2 linked regions of the Mus musculus genome follow. The protein of the gene in region 1 interacts with the protein of each later gene in a pairwise test. Links are inferred from orthologs where the notes say so. Each region holds a gene or a part of one and is shown on either strand. Other genes may lie near its edges.

Region 1 (7,634 bases):
CCTTTATTCAGTGTACTTGGGAATGAAACTCAGGCCCTCATGCTTGCAAGACAAATGCTTCATCACTCCAGCTTCCTCCTCATCCATTTTACCTCCTCCCCCCCTTTTTTTTTTGGAGACCAGATTTCATCACTCTTGAGCCTTGGCTGACCCAGAGCTCGCTTTGTAGATCAGGTTGTCCTCACATGTATGGTGAGATGACAGGCATGCGCCACTATTCCTTAGTTTAAAGTTTATATTTCTACTGAAAGAGGGATCTTGTCATCTTTGACCTTGTCCTTTCCTTTCTCTCTTAGTGACACCATGCATTAGAGTTGAACAGGAATCCTGATCATTGTGTTTCATTATCAGTTTTTGATAAGCTCTGGTATAGCCTCATCAAAGAGAGTACAGCCTGGAGTGCAGAGATTCTAGATGATTAAGATTTAAATATGCTATACTACTCAGTAACTATAATTTGCCTAGATCTTTGTAAAGTTGAGAACTTTTACATGCCTGGGCCTCAGAAGTGCTGGGATTATATGTGTATACCTCCATGCCTAGCCCTTCTTTTCTTTCAAGCTACCACCTCTAATTCTAGATGTTTAGACTCAGTTGATTACAATCATAATGAAAGAACTTTGGGTTCAGGGCTGGGGGAAATCAGAGATGTAGAGATGGGATAGAAATTGACTACCAAGGTTTTCAGAACCAACCTACTTTCCACTGTCTTTGCTTTCTAAAAGCTAACTGCTGTAGAAATTGAATTTGTTATGGTTCTGACAGAGCCTTTCTTACCATTGACGTCTGTAGGTGAATGAGGATAAAGCAAGGGTGTTGTGATGAAGAAAAATAACTCAGGCAGTGGTGGCGCACGCCTTTAATCCCAGCACCTGGGAGGCAGAGGCAGGCGGATTTCTGAGTTCGAGGCCAGACTGGTCTACAGAGTGAGTTCCAGGACAGCCAGGGCTACACAGAGAAACCCTGTCTCTAAAATCCAAAAACAAAAACAAACAAACAAAAAACCCCCAAACCTTAGACTTTTTATCCCAGTCATTTTATTTCTTTTCTGTTGTTTTGAGATTTTGAGATACAATCTCATTATGTAGCCATGAAGTATCTGGCTTCTACCTTGCTGTATAGCTCAGGGATCCTCCTCCTTCCACCTCCAGAGTAATGGGGATAACAGGCATGTGCCGTCATACCTGGCTTGACATTTCAATCTTGCAGCCCCTGTGACCATGTGAAAGCTCAATGTCAATTCCATTTGTAAGTGAAGTAACTTTATAACTTCCTACCAGCTTATGTTAGAGATGACTAGAAGGTGAGGCTCTCTGATGGTCCTTCACAAAGTGTCTTTACTGTACATCTTAGTCCATTCATCTGTCACTGTTCCTGGACTCCTCTTTTGTATCTCCTTTGACCCATGTGCACTTTGGGAGTTGGGGGGAATACTCTATGTTGTTATATGAGAAGTGGATCATCATCCTTTTAGAGATGGATACTTTTGGTGAGTGAGGCATGATCAAGGTAAAAACTTTTCATTGCTAAAGAAAGGCCAGTCCATGTAACAACAAATGAAGTTCAATGCTATGGTAGATTTATTGAAGTAGAAACTGTAGACCACCTCAAGCCCAAGAAGTGTACTGACAGCAGCGTGGTGAAGAGGGAATTGAAGCTATATTAGAAGTGGCAAGGGTGATGTTCCACAGAATCGTAAGCCATGCTTACAGCATGTAAGCAGTAAGTCTGGGGTAGCTGACATTTGACAAGGTATGTCCTGGTATTTTGTGGTGGCAGTTCAGTTCTAGGCACGAGAGTTCTGTTGCTACTATGGACAACACTTTGTTCTTTCCTTGAAAGGAGGTATTAGAGCTGGGATAGTAGTATGGCAGTCATGGTATTCCCACCCCCACCTTTTCCTGGCCTTGGTTAGATTTCAGTTAAGGCAAAAATGGATTCCTTAGTTGTTCTAAAGCCTTCTTAATAGCAATGGGCAGGTAGATAAAAAGTAGACCAGAGGCTTAACAACAAGGATCTGTGTCCCAAAGAGAAGAAGCAGTACAGAGGAGAAGTTGGAATTAACTATAATAAAAATGAAAGTGCTGGCCCTTTCAGGGAGGAGTGACGGCTTTGAAAGGTCCTTGCAAGAGGCAAATTCAATATTTGAAGAGTCGCTGCATCTGGAACAAAAGGGAGACTGTGCTGCAGCTCTGGCTCTGTGTAACGAAGCTATCTGTAAGTAACTCAACTGCTACTGGCTATGGCGTTTCCCGACTAACTCCACAATAGGAACTAGTGTTGTCATGCAGATGGCCATAGGGACAGTTTTTAATGTCTCTTGTGTTCCCGGGGAGGCCAATTAGCTATCTTTCCCCTTCAGATTTCAAAATGTACCTTGTGGTGCCACTGTGGTCTGTGGACATTTACTGGAACAACCTCAACAGGAAACCACAGATGAATTCTAACCCAAATAGTTAGACTTCAGATATGAGGTTAGCCTACTCTTTCTCTAGTCCCTGACTAATGAGTAGGCCAACTGAAGAAACTGGCTCTGACTCCCTAGGTAGTAACTTTTCATTGTAATACTCTATTCTTTTTGTTCTTCTCCTGCCTTTCTGGTATGCAGTACCATACTGTAACAGCAAGGGGTTCAGGCTAAGAATTGGTACCTGACTCTTAAATATGACTCCATGAAGCTGTGCTCTGTAAAGACGGGTGCAGGTTTGGACCTTATTTTTTTGTCATTGGCCATCAGAAAGGGGGAACTGGGAGCAGAGTGTGGAGACCGGAGTCAAACAGGTCAGTGAGAAGACGAGAGTGGCAACCTCACGTGCTAGTTTATCTTCCTGCTCTTTAAGTTTTGTTTGATTTTCTTTAGTGTTTTGTTTGTTTAAGTTTTAATTAATGTGTTTGGTCTCCTGGCTTTCATGAATGTTTCCTGAGCCAGAGCTGGTTCTGCGCTCTTGACAGCGCATGCACAGTCCATGCCTTGCATTCCTGCTGCTACATATTTTGTTTTACCGCCTATCTTTGCTTAGTTTTAGTTTAGTTTTTGTTCTTTTATTTTTGTTTGTATTTTGTGTTGTTTCTGCTATATTTTCTTTTGCATTTTAGCTAAACTAAGACTTACCCTGCATGATGCCAGCTCTAGCACGCACAGCAGAGCCCTAGTCGATAAGAAGTTGCAAATCAGTATTCGAAAAGCACGAAGCCTTCAGGATCGCATGCAGCAACAAGCATCATCGCAGCAGCCGGTGCAGCCCTCAGCCTCTCTCCCATCACAGGGGGGCGCCCTCCCTCAGCCGACAAGGTAGTGCTTGAGAACCACATTAGCTTACGGATAGCAGGGGAGGCAGTGTCCATGGGTACGCCATAGCACGAACTCTTCTCTTCTTCACTACCAGGGAAAAGAGAAAAACCTTATATGACTAAGGTTCTCTTCTCTAAGGTCAGACACACAAAAGCTCATTTCACAGATGGTCCTTTCATTAATAATTCCTAGAAAGATGCAAATAAGTACAAAATAACAAGCTATCCAAATTTCCTGGATTTGTGTAGCAATATGATTATTATAGTTGTATTTATTATGTTCTTAAACATGGAATCTGATTGTACCCTTCATGTTGTTGTAGTAACTGTTTAATTTGGGATTTCAATATTTACCATCCTCACAGAGAAAATAACCAGTTTTTCTTACTTTGATTAAACCGTAGGGAAGAGACACAAAGATTTTCTTTGTTTGCTTCTCTAAGGTCAGGACAAGGAGAAAGTCCCAAGAGGTACTGGGATAGTTCCCACATTTTAGGGGTATAAATATAACTATAATAAAAGTAGATAACTTTTTCTCTCTGCGTGTGTGTGTGTGTGTGTGTGTGTGTGTGTTTTCCTGGGAATAAAATCCAGGAACTTGTATATACTATACTACTAGGCAAGCGTTCTACTAGTAAGCTACACGTTCTCTGCCTCGTTTGTTGGTCTTTTAACTATTAGCTTCATTATGCTTGTTAAAATTTTTGAACATTTGCCTGGGTTCAGGTCAGAGGCAAGCATTTTCTGTTTTATTTATTACCTGATGAGATAGTAGCTGCTATCGAGCATACGTTCTAAATAAGGAAGCTTGTAGAGAGGATAGTTAGTTAGCTAATAAGTGGTAGAAGTATAGAATTCAGATACAAATCCGTTTTACTGTCAATGTTGCATCCCTTCCCCCCCCCCCCCTTTTCTAGACTAACTAGGCTCTGCAATGCCTTGAACTCCTGATATTTCTTTTTGCCTCTGGAGTGCTAGTATTACAGGCCTGTTAAACACTACTCAGGTTTATTCAGTTCCGTGGATTGAACCCAAGGCATCCTGCATGTTGGGCCAGCACTCTACCAATTGAACTACATCACTAGGCCAAGTTTTGATTAAATTACCACAATCATGTTACAAGAGTGACTGGATGACTAAAGCTACAAACATTTGGGGTATACAGATTCATATTATCTAAAATGTCTTGAGACTAAAAGTAAGTCTCTATCTATCTGTCCCTGTCTATCTTTTATCCATCAGTCTCTGCCTTTCTTTGTCTCTCTGTCTTTGCTTCTCTCTGTCTCTGTCTTTCTGTCTCTCCCCCCTTCCCTTCCTTCCTTCCACTTCTTCCCCTCTGTCTTTTTCTCTTTATTTTTTGAGATATGGTTGCTTAGCTGGCCTGGGACTTGGTAGGTAGACTGTATAGGCCTCAGAACTCACTACAGTCTTCCTGCCCTTGGTTCCTAAATGCCAGGATTAGAGGTTTGCACTGCCGTACCCAGCTCAGATTTAATTTTTTTTTCTTCTTTCAGATTTTGGAACACTCATATAGACGGGTTGAATACCCTTAGCCCTAAAATCTGAAGCCTGAGATGCTTCAGGGTTCAAACTTATTCCATTATTGTGCCCATGCCTAAAACAGGTTGTGTTTCGAAGCACTCCAATTATGGATTTTCAGTTTCTTAGTTCTTTTTTTTTTTTTTTTGGTTTTTCGAGACAAGGTTTCTCTGTGTAGCCCTGGTTGTCCTGGAACTCACTCTTTAGACCAGGCTGGCCTGGAACTTAGAAATCTGCCTGCCTCTGCCTCCATAGTGCTGGGATTAAAGGCGTGTGCCACCACAACCGGCTGTTTCTTATTCTTATCTGAAAAGGAATTGAAAAGGTTGAAGTTTCCTCTCAGGATATATTTTTTTTTTTGTCATAAATATAAAACAGTGAGAATTATGAGAATTATATTCCCCCTCCTCACTGTTAAGAGAACCCTGTTCTGCCACTGTGATGAGACATTTGAGTGAAGCATGCAGTGATAGTTGATGTCTGTTTACCCAGGAGTCCAAATCACCTTGTGTTCTGTAGTCTTCTTCATTTTGTTGACTGAGCTACCCCATCGGACCCTAGGGTAGCACTTCTCTCTTTGTACAGCATCCAGGACTTTTGTTGTATAGTGTGAGTGGCTTTTAGACTTTGCCTTCTGTGGAAGAAGCAATTTTTATCTTTTGTTTGTTCTTTGAGACAGGGTTTCTCTGTAGCACTGGCTATCCTAGAACTCACTCTGTAGACCAGGCTGGCCTTGAACTCAGAGATCCACCTGCCTCTGTCTCCTGAGTAAATGAGTGTGCCACCACTACCTGGCAATTGTTATCTTTTTAAATTTGCAAGTAGAATGTGATTGGAATGGGACTTTGTGAGTAGTAAAGAATATTAGCAAACCCTGGACTTCATAACACATAGACAAATTGGATGGTACTCTCTTTTCTTTTGTGAACCTGTAATCTATTGGCTTTGTTTGTGTTTGTCTTTTTTATTCTGTTCATCATATCTGTGAATAGCTAGAAGTGGAATTGAATGAGTAGGGTTTTTTGGGGGGGGGGGAATTTATTGTTAGTCAAGGCACGGTGTGGCTGATTCTCTCCATTTGTTTCAGTGAACAGCCTATCACGCTCCAAGTATTGTTAAACCAGGAGGCACAGCTGGAACCTTGCAAGGATACAGAGCTTGGGGCCACTTCCTCTTTCTTCCACTCACCTGCTTCCTGCCCTGAGTTACACTCATCACTCATCCCAGAGTCACCTGTTTCATCTGTTTCACAGCACAGTCCCCCTGGGACATCTTCCTTGAAGCTTCTGACGTCTTTTGAGGTGGACAGCGTCAATCGCTCTGCATTCCACAGGCAGGGTTTACCTAAAGCAACAGGTAGAACTGAGATGAACTCTCAACATGAATGCCTGCCATTAGATGCCCTTGAAGATAGGCTCCAAGGCCACAGGGAGGACAACAGCTGTTGCAGCAAATTCCCACCACGAGAAGGAAGAGACATAGCTCAAGATCAGCTGTTTGAAGGAAAAAAGAATCCTGCTGATATATCCATGGGGATGCCTTGGTCATATTCAACAGGAGAAGCCACTTCTGAGAGAGTTATATATAGCCTAAATAGTCCTTCAAGTTCATCAGCTCAGCCTAGTATTCCCCCTTACAGTTCCTGCCACCCCATCACGTCTGCTGCTTCTTCACCTGTGCTTCATGCTGCTGACCCCATGCAGAAACTTAACCAACACGTTCAAGCCCAAAGTCTCCAGACTTCATTGACTTCAAAAGTGGTCAGAAGCAGTGAGGAGCCCTATAGGCTAGAGTTCCCCAGTACAAAAGGACTTGTCCGCTCATTGGCAGAGCAATTCCAGAAGATGCAGAATACTTCCACGAGAGATGTTATAGGTTCCCAGGATAGAAGTTTGCCAAATGGTGTCAGGAAGAGCTCTTCTCCTTCTGACTTTATGCCTCCATTATCCCAGGGTCCAGGAAGAGAGCACTGTCGCTGGGTAAAACAACCCCGTTCCCCCGATGGCAGGGAAAGACCGCCCTGCTGGGAAGACCCTGCAGCTCATCCTCCTCTTTCCATGGGCTCGGGGCTTCCTGATGGTGAAACCTCGAGGACAGCACAGCCCAGGCTGGCTGAGCCAGATATGTACCAAGGAAAGCTACCCCAAGTGACAGATATTAGGTCCAAGGAGCTGGGTAGTAGTGTCAATTTGGGGACTTCTTTGCCTTTGGATTCTTGGGTAAATGTCACAAGGCTCTGTGATTCTCAGGTTAAACCCAGTGCCCCTGGGCCCGGAGACAAGTCCTCCTCCCATGATTCCCACCCACGTGCAACCTGCCTAGAAAGAAGTCCTATCCTTTTGCATCCACACTGGGACCAAGACACAGAGCAGGAGACCTCTGAACTGGAGTCTCTCTACCAAGCCAGCCTTCAGGCCTCTTCTCACACTGCCTATTCTGATTGGAGATCACAGGATGTGGCCTGGCAGCCACTTAGCCTAGCAGGTAAACATAACCGGTGCTAGGGACATGTAAAAACTGAAAACCAGAGAACAAGGTCAGAAGTGGGGGGTCGTGTTCTGTACAGTATCGCTAGCTTACCAAGAGGCAATGAGACCTTTAGCTTTCCTCATAGAGCCTTCAGGACAAGGGCTAGGCAATTGCTTTTTTCTTGGTCAGAATTGAAATTGGGTTGGAATTATCACTGGGAAAGCAATTCCCTCCTTGTACGGAAATGTAAGTCTTGGCTGGTGGGCTCTACAGAATATAGGGCAAAGAACTGCTTCACAGGTCTTTGAGAGTGAGTTATACAATATGGGGAAGGC
Region 2 (7,634 bases), on another chromosome or scaffold:
GGTCAGTCTAGCTCTTCTTGGGCTCCAACTGGGTATAAGCTCTCAGTGTGAGGACCCAAACCCCTCCCCCTTATCCATCATCATAAGGATGAGCACCATCCTTCACCAAGTTCCCCTTCTATACTGGCATAGGTATTTCTGATAGCTTCAGAGAGCAGTTCTTTCTCCAAGTTTTGGGAGTATTCTACCATTAACTAGGACCAGGCTGGTCTTTGTCAACTGCCCAGACTTCAAAAGCTGATAGCTAACCACTGAAATGCTCACTCTAAAAGCCAGTCACGTCTCCTACATCCTCAGAGTTAAGTACTGCCACAGCTCTGACAAGCATTAGCACACAATTCTTTTCTAGGGTGCATACTTCAGGAAAGGTAGCTCTCAGCCAAATCAAGTCACATCTGCATGGTGCCACATTAAGGGAGGCGCCGTGTTTACAAACAGGGATAAAGAAAGGAAGCAGAGCACAGAGGTCAGCGCTGGCCCGATCTGTCAAGGCCCTCAACAACTGTTTTCCAAGGATTCCGCTACAAGCAGCCCAAGCAGTGATTTGACTTCAACTGTGAGCCAATCACGTCTGCCCCATGAGGAAGACGTAGCTCAGTGGTACCCTGGGTAGACATGTTTGTAGCATCTACAGTGCATGTCAGGAAATTCCGTGATGAACCTTCTGAGGAAGGGAGGGAGCCTTGTGAGAAACCCACACATGCAAATAACACCTAGGAATGAGTTGTTCATGAAACAGTCAGGAGATGAGGCCATCTCCTATGGCTCTCATCTGAGAGAATTCCTCAAGACTCAATCCCACAGGCCCCCGCTGTAGGAAACAAGCCAGAGAAGCAGCAGAGAAATGGGGGCAACACAGGGAAAGGATGTGATCTCCAATGCAGCACAAGGTCGGTGGTTGATTCTGACAGAAAGCAGAGACTTCAGTACTTGCGGTCAGGCTAAACAGCTTCCTTTGAACGCCCCCCCCTAAAAGCTCGCTGACCAGGTATCTGCTCTCAAGGTATCAAACAGAATGTAGGATTTATAGCAAACTAGCCAGTTTCTTGTCACTCTGTTCCCAAAGAGAACAACCTTTAGCACCTGAACACTAAGAATGACTTCGTTCTCAGAACTCCCCCCCCCCCAGGAGGTAGGTAAGATTATTTATCCCCATTTGGCAGCTGGGGAGGAAGTGAAAGAGATATCACAAGACTCACCTTAAGCTTTGCTCATACTTCAGAAGTGTAGGACTCCTGGTGACAGGCCAGGTCTATCTATGAAGGAAATGCCACACTCATTCCCTGGGAGAAGTCTAACTACATAGCTGGGTGGACAATACCCTGAGTTGCCTTCAAGAGTCTAAAGAACCCCTCCCCACCCCATCCCAAAAAACCTTCACAAAAAAATTACTCAACCACTTTAAAGTTGGTGGGGGTGGGGGAGCCTAAATCCTAATACCCAATGGGGCCCTACAGTCCACGCTGACACTACTATGGGCTGTAGGGAAATGTGGGAATAAGACAGATGGCAGCAAATACAACCAAGATAGAAAATACTTTCTAGAAGAATCCACCAGCATACAAGGACACATCTGCTAAGATGTTACAAAGACTATTCCTAGACTTTCAGAGCTGATACTGGGAGGGCGCAACTTAGGCCGGAATGCTGAGAGGCAATGGATTGCAGTGGGAGGAAGCCGAGTAGGTCCACTGCAGTGGGAATGCCCAGCCTAGGGCTCAGTTTCTTTCTGGTTTCTCCACTATATTGCTGCCGGTGGAAGAGGACATGATTTTGAGTTTCTAAATATAAAAATTATAGCTGATAGGGAAACCAGGGACCCTTTTACACCAAAAACTAGAGGTCTTAGTGGACAAAGGCAGTGCAGCTACACATGAGGCCCAGGTCAAGACACCATGCAGAGGTCAGGCAGCAGAAGGGTAGGGGCAGTGCAGGCACTAAGGCACAACATAGACAGACAATGGAGGAGTGTAGGTGCCTAGGGGAAAGGTCCTCCAGGTCTTTCTGAAGTTACTACTACAGACTGAATGAATATCAAAGCGGGCCTGACAGGCTGGGTGGGAGTTTAGGTTAGAGGCCTTTCAAAAGCTTTGCCTAAGTCCCAACATCTATCAGTCAAATCTTTTCTCCACAGTCCCGACTGGGTTCCTGGCAAGGCAGTCCTTCATTTTCAAACCCGAAGGGGCTTCTCTCTCTCTCTCTCTCTCCTGGCCCTAAAATGCTAAAAAGCCTTATAGCGGAATGGTGAGGTGAGATGGGAACGGGCAGAAGCAAAGGACCAAGCACAGTCCCGTAGATCATGGTGCTCCCCAACCCCCAACCCCACCATAAACATCTGTAACAAAATCACCCTTTAAAGTGCACATCTCTCACAAGAAGAGTTCTGGGCGGGAACCCTCTTATTTTCAACCATTGGGCCTCCTGCCCTCCCACCACAAAGGACGGGAGGGAGACAGGAAAAAAGAAAGAAAACAGTTTTACTGCTACTATAAGCTGTGATCATCATATTTGGCTCTTTCTTTGCTTCCTCCCTCTGCCACCTGCTCCCAAAGCCTGCACTTTCCCTTGTAGGAGCCAGGGATGAGTAGGAAAAAACAGGGAGGCCCTGATTTTGGAATGTGTCTTATCCTATGTGCACTCCTACCCTTTCTTGCTCCAAGCCTGCAAGTCCCCATCTCAGCACCCTCTAAAGGTGTCCTGAGAGGGTGCCATGGGGTCACGAGCAACACACCCTGCTTTGGGAGGCTGTCTTAATGTCTGTTTCCCCCAAATCTCACTGCCAAGAGAGCCACCCTCTGCTTGGCATGTGCAAATCCTCTCGATGCTCACAGAGGCTCACCTCTGGGGAGAAAGCCCCAGTCCTGGGTTGGGAAAGAGGTTCATTTTCCTGCATTGGAACGCCCTTCGATGGACAGCTTTACCTCCTGTGGAATGAAAGAGGGACGGAGCATCGCAGCCCGTGCCTCCTCCCCTTGCATGCTGAATCTTTGGAAGCTTGGGGCTGGCCAGCAGGCCTGAGCACCAGGCTCAGGCTGGGAGGGTTCTCCCACCCGGGAACCCTCTCCTGAAGGCTGGTTCTTCCCCTCGCTGTCACATAGGTCTCTGGGCCCCAAGACTGTCCTCTCAGGCCTTTCTCGGGGTGTACCCAGCTGCCCTGGGGGAGCACAGCTGGCCTGAGATACTGAGTTACTGTTCAAGCTCTGTAAACTGATAGAGATGCAGACATCTCCCACCTGTAGCCGATGGCAGGGCAGAGAGAAGAGTTGTGCAGTCCGCCCAGGGCTGCAGGAGGACCAACCCTGGCCATATACAAAAAAAGGGTGCTCAGGGGGCACCTCAATGCTCACTTTGCTCTGCTGTTCACCAACCACGAAATGCAGCATAACAAATCCAGGCCACTGGCTCTCCTGAATGTCCACGACTGTGCTAGAGTCAATTTTCAGCCCCCCACTCACTTCCGCACTTCGCACAAAATCCTGGGTCTGGAGGTCCTCTACCCGCTTCAGCTCCCCTGTAGCCAGCTGAATGATGGCGCCTTTCATGAAATGGGAGGGCAGGTGGGAAGAGGTAACGGGAGGTGGCGTTGGCTCCTTGTCTGGGAAGGTGGCTCTGGCCTGCAGGTCCAGACTTGATGCCACCAGGATCTCTGAGCCCACAGGCAGCAGGCTAGGGTCAGTTCCAGTGGGCACCAGGTTGCCATTGGCTACAACCATTGCTTTGGGTAAAGGTCTGTGTTTTACTGGTTCCTGATGGGACTGCGGGTAGAACACACGGGCCTGACTTTTCTCCACCAGTTCTGTAGGATTCCTGGCAGACCCTCGTCCCTCACCCTGATGGTCAAGGTTATGATGGGATAGGTTAAGAGGGCTGGGCTCATCTTTCCTCTGAGCTGCCACCACACGATAGTCCTGAGAAGCTAAAGCGCCAACTACCCGCTGGACCTCTAGGTCGGTGTCTGGGGTCCCTCGATGTGCTGGCGCCGCCACCTCCACTCTCGGAGTCTGAGAACCTGAAAACAACTGTCCATCCGCCATGCATTCCACCACCGGCACCAGTCCTTGGCTTTCACCCTTGCTGCTGGCGGAGTCAAGGGCTTCACTTTCGCGTCTTACATTTCGCTCTCGTTGTCTCTGTCCATTGGCAGCAGCTGCTTCCAGAGCAGACTGGCCCTCCTGAGGAGTAAGAATGGGGCTGGCACCTGCTGTTGAAGTTTCATGCAAGGTATATCCAGCAGGTAGCCTAGACATTTGATAATAAATGGGCATCCGGCCTGGAGCAAGATCCAGTGGTTGAGTATTCGAGTGATGTGGCAACTGGCCGGGCGGGGAGGTGGCAGATGAGGACTTGTTAAATGACTGAGCTGGGGATGCGGCCTGTGGAGGGGGAGTAGCTTCTTCTGCGAGGAGAGAGGCATATGGCACAAAGTGTGGAAGGTGAGTGGTGGCAAGGTTGGCAGAAGGAGAGAGGAGAGGACTGGGTAGGAAATTAGGTGGCACAGCATAAGGAAGGCTGTATGGAGACCCAATAAACTGCAGTGAGGTGGATGGGAGCTGAGCATAGTGGACTGGGGGATAGTGGATTCCCGGATGTTGAATCAGTGAAGACGCTACATTAAATGTGGGGGGTAAGGGGCTCATGTTCACAACAGATGGCAGGCCAGTTGGTGAGAAGGTGGCAGGTGGCACAGCCACCTTGTACAGCATGCCATACTGATCTACTGTCAGGCCAGTGATGGCCTCAGTTCCATCACCCCCGAGGCTGACTCTGGCTCCCGTCTGGCTCTGCCCAGCCACCACAACCCCTCGGGACCATTCAGAAGCGTCACTGGAGGGTGTGTGGTTTGTGGAGCAGCTGGTAGTTCTCCCCATATCCTCGCTGGTCACAGGGAGGTCTCGTTTCTTTGGTGGAAGGCATTCCTGACTCCGCTCATGAACAGGTTTCATATTGCTTTGTGTTCCCGGAGCCTGGATGGAGTTTACGCGCTCCTTCGGGCATCAGAAGTGACTTCTCTGTGGTTCCCCTGCACCCCGCTCTGCTGCTGGTTGTGGTGCCCACATCTGCTAGGGAATAAACCAGAGGCAGAGAAGAGTAACCTAGGGAATCAAGTCAAACAAAGTATGAAGACTTACACCCAGGAGCAAAGACCTAAGGAGAGCAGCACACAACTGAGGGGCGAGAGGAGAGAGGACGAGGCTGCCTGTTCACCCAGCAGCCCACCACAGGAAGACAAGAGGCAGGAAAACCAGGAAGAGCTACAAGGATGCACAGCCAAGAAACCTAAGTGAGCCCAGGGCTGAAGCATCTCTTCCTGGCCACCTGCTGGGTTAGTCATGCTTTTCCTGAGGCCCTTACCTCTTCTCAGTCTCCTCCCTGAAGCATAGCTGGGAGCATGAGTCTTTGCTGCAGACCCTTTCCTAAATGTCTCCTTCTGCTATCAAAGTCTAGCATGCCATCTTCTTTCCCTGAATGCATGATCTCATTCGTGCTTCCTTTCCCCAGCTTAATTTGGGTTATGACCTCACCTGCTCCATCCAACCGAAGACTGGCTGAATTCATGTTACTAAGTGCTGAGGTTTGTAAACCTTGTTCCCTAAGCATATTATAAATTGGAGTGTTTTTGTTGTTGTTCCAGGAAACTTGACATTCCAGCTTTGACCCCGTGAGAAGAGTGACTGTGGTAGTTTGCTCTAGAGCTTGCTTCTCCTCCACCCTCTCTGACCTCTAGTCTAAAAGACTTCTTTCTTCTTACTGATCACCTTCCATTTGCCTTCTTTGTTCTTGTTTCTTCTGCCAGTGCCTCCCTCCCTGTCCAGTGTGGCTCTGCTCTGAGTATTAAGTCACACAATTCTATTCCCTGTCTCCATACTTGGACGTTTACTTCTCTCCCTTCCTTAGTGTCACTTTCTATACCTCTCCTTTTTTCCTTTTCTTTTTTTGTTTTTTGTTTGTTTTTTTTCAGACAGGGTTTTTCTGTGTAGCCCTGGCCGTCCTGGAACTGTCACTCTAGAAACCAGGCTGGCTTCAAATGTAGACATCCTCCTGCCTCTGCCTCCCAAGTGCTGGGATCAATGGCATGTGCTAACACACCCAGCTTTTATAATCACTTTTTTTGTTTGTTTGTTTGTTTGTTTGTTTGTTTGTTTCGAGACAGGGTTTCTCTGTGTAGCCCTGGCTGGCCTCAAACTCAGAAATCTGCCTGCCTTTGCCTCCCAAGTGCTGGGATCAAAGGCGTGTGCCACCACTGCCCAGCTCTGTAATCACTTTTATCCACTGTCAAAAAGCATCTTTTTAGAACCCCAATGATAGTGCATGCACATAGTCCTGGCACTTGAGAGAAGAGTTTAGAAATTTGAGGTCACCCTTAGTTAGACAATGAATTAGATAGAGGCCAGCCTGGGCTACATGAGAACCTGGGGTGTTGGTTTTTTTTTTTTTTTTTTTTTTGGTGGTGGTGGTTAAAAAAAATCAGAAAGCATCTTTTTTGTATGAACACTTCAATGCATATGAACTTTGGCAATAATTTTTCCAATCAGGCTGAATTCTGTTTTTCCACTGTCACGTGCCACGGTTTTTTGTTTTGTTTTTTCCTGAAACAAGGCCTCCACAGTGCCTCTATTACCTGCGCGTCTGGTGGGGCTGAGCAGCTGCAGTACGTGTCCTCCCCTCTGGTTTGGGAGCCTAGAAGACACAAGGCTGATGTCAGCTGGAGGCAGAGCTCTCACCTTCCCCGGGCCATCCTGAAAGGCAATTCCAAAGCCACCAAAAACCACTGACCTCCCTAAGTTCTTGCTTCATTCTCAACCCAGTGGTAACAGCACGTATACCCGAGTGCCCAGGAAACTGAAGGAAAAAAAAAAAAAACAATCCAGGGCTAATGAGATGGCTCAGTAGGTAAATGCACTTGCTGCCCAGACCTGTTCCCTTCCTGGGACCTAAGCTGCAGGGACTCCTAAAAGCTGGCCTCTGGCCGTCACACACAAGACCAAAACAACAACAAAAAACAAAAAAAACAAGAATGAAAAAAATCTTTATGCTTTCATTTTTGTAAGACATCCCTGGAAAGAAATTTCTATGTGTTGATTTCAGTGGTTTCTTTACCATCCTTCATTCTTCATTCTCTACCCCACTCCCCAATGAGCAAGCTCATTTCCAGTCCAAATTTTGCTTAAATGCACAAATAAAGATGAGAGACTTCATACTGCCTGCATGTGAGCAATGAGAAGCTGGGAGTTTCTGCTTTATTAGTGGCCCATGAACACACAGATGTAGAGATTATTCAAATAAGAAAGCTGTCACTAGAGGAAAAGGAACAATTATTTATGTTTCTGGGGCAGAGAAAGAGGTCAAGGGGGAGTTACTCAAAGTGAAAGCTATATTAACAGATTTTCTGAGTAAAAGTAAAAGGGCTCCTGTGTGTGTGTATGTGCGCGCGCACACACACAATTTTATACGTGACTTTACACTAAGTACTGAATGAAATGTGAAAGAAAATGAAAACGCCATTTTGATTCTATGAAGCTAACAAAGGGGAACAAAACTATTACTAAGCTACCAATATCTGAATCCACACTTGCCAGAAACATCAATAATTAAAGAACATGGCCTTTCAAGGCTCCGGATGCAGCTCAGTTGGT

Evidence for each region. The genes of interacting proteins can lie anywhere in the genome.
Region 2: the proteins of Usp54 (region 1) and Atxn1l interact in binary tests that used the Homo sapiens proteins (3 or more experiments, as listed by UniProt). The link is inferred for Mus musculus from reciprocal best matches to the Homo sapiens genes USP54 and ATXN1L.

The regions. Positions count from the first base shown.
Region 1 is NC_000080.6:20,560,526-20,568,159, reverse strand, and holds part of Usp54 (inactive ubiquitin carboxyl-terminal hydrolase 54), read left to right. Parts: intron 1-2,097; coding exon 2,098-2,217; intron 2,218-3,096; coding exon 3,097-3,292; intron 3,293-3,320; exon of another isoform or gene 3,321-3,379; intron 3,380-5,917; coding exon 5,918-7,314; intron 7,315-7,634.
Region 2 is NC_000074.6:109,728,686-109,736,319, forward strand, and holds part of Atxn1l (ataxin-1-like), read right to left. Parts: intron 6,841-7,634; 5' UTR 6,775-6,840; intron 6,679-6,774; 5' UTR 6,620-6,678; intron 5,094-6,619; exon of another isoform or gene 5,058-5,093; 5' UTR 4,944-5,057; coding exon 2,880-4,943; 3' UTR 1-2,879. UniProt on the Homo sapiens protein: Chromatin-binding factor that repress Notch signaling in the absence of Notch intracellular domain by acting as a CBF1 corepressor. Binds to the HEY promoter and might assist, along with NCOR2, RBPJ-mediated repression.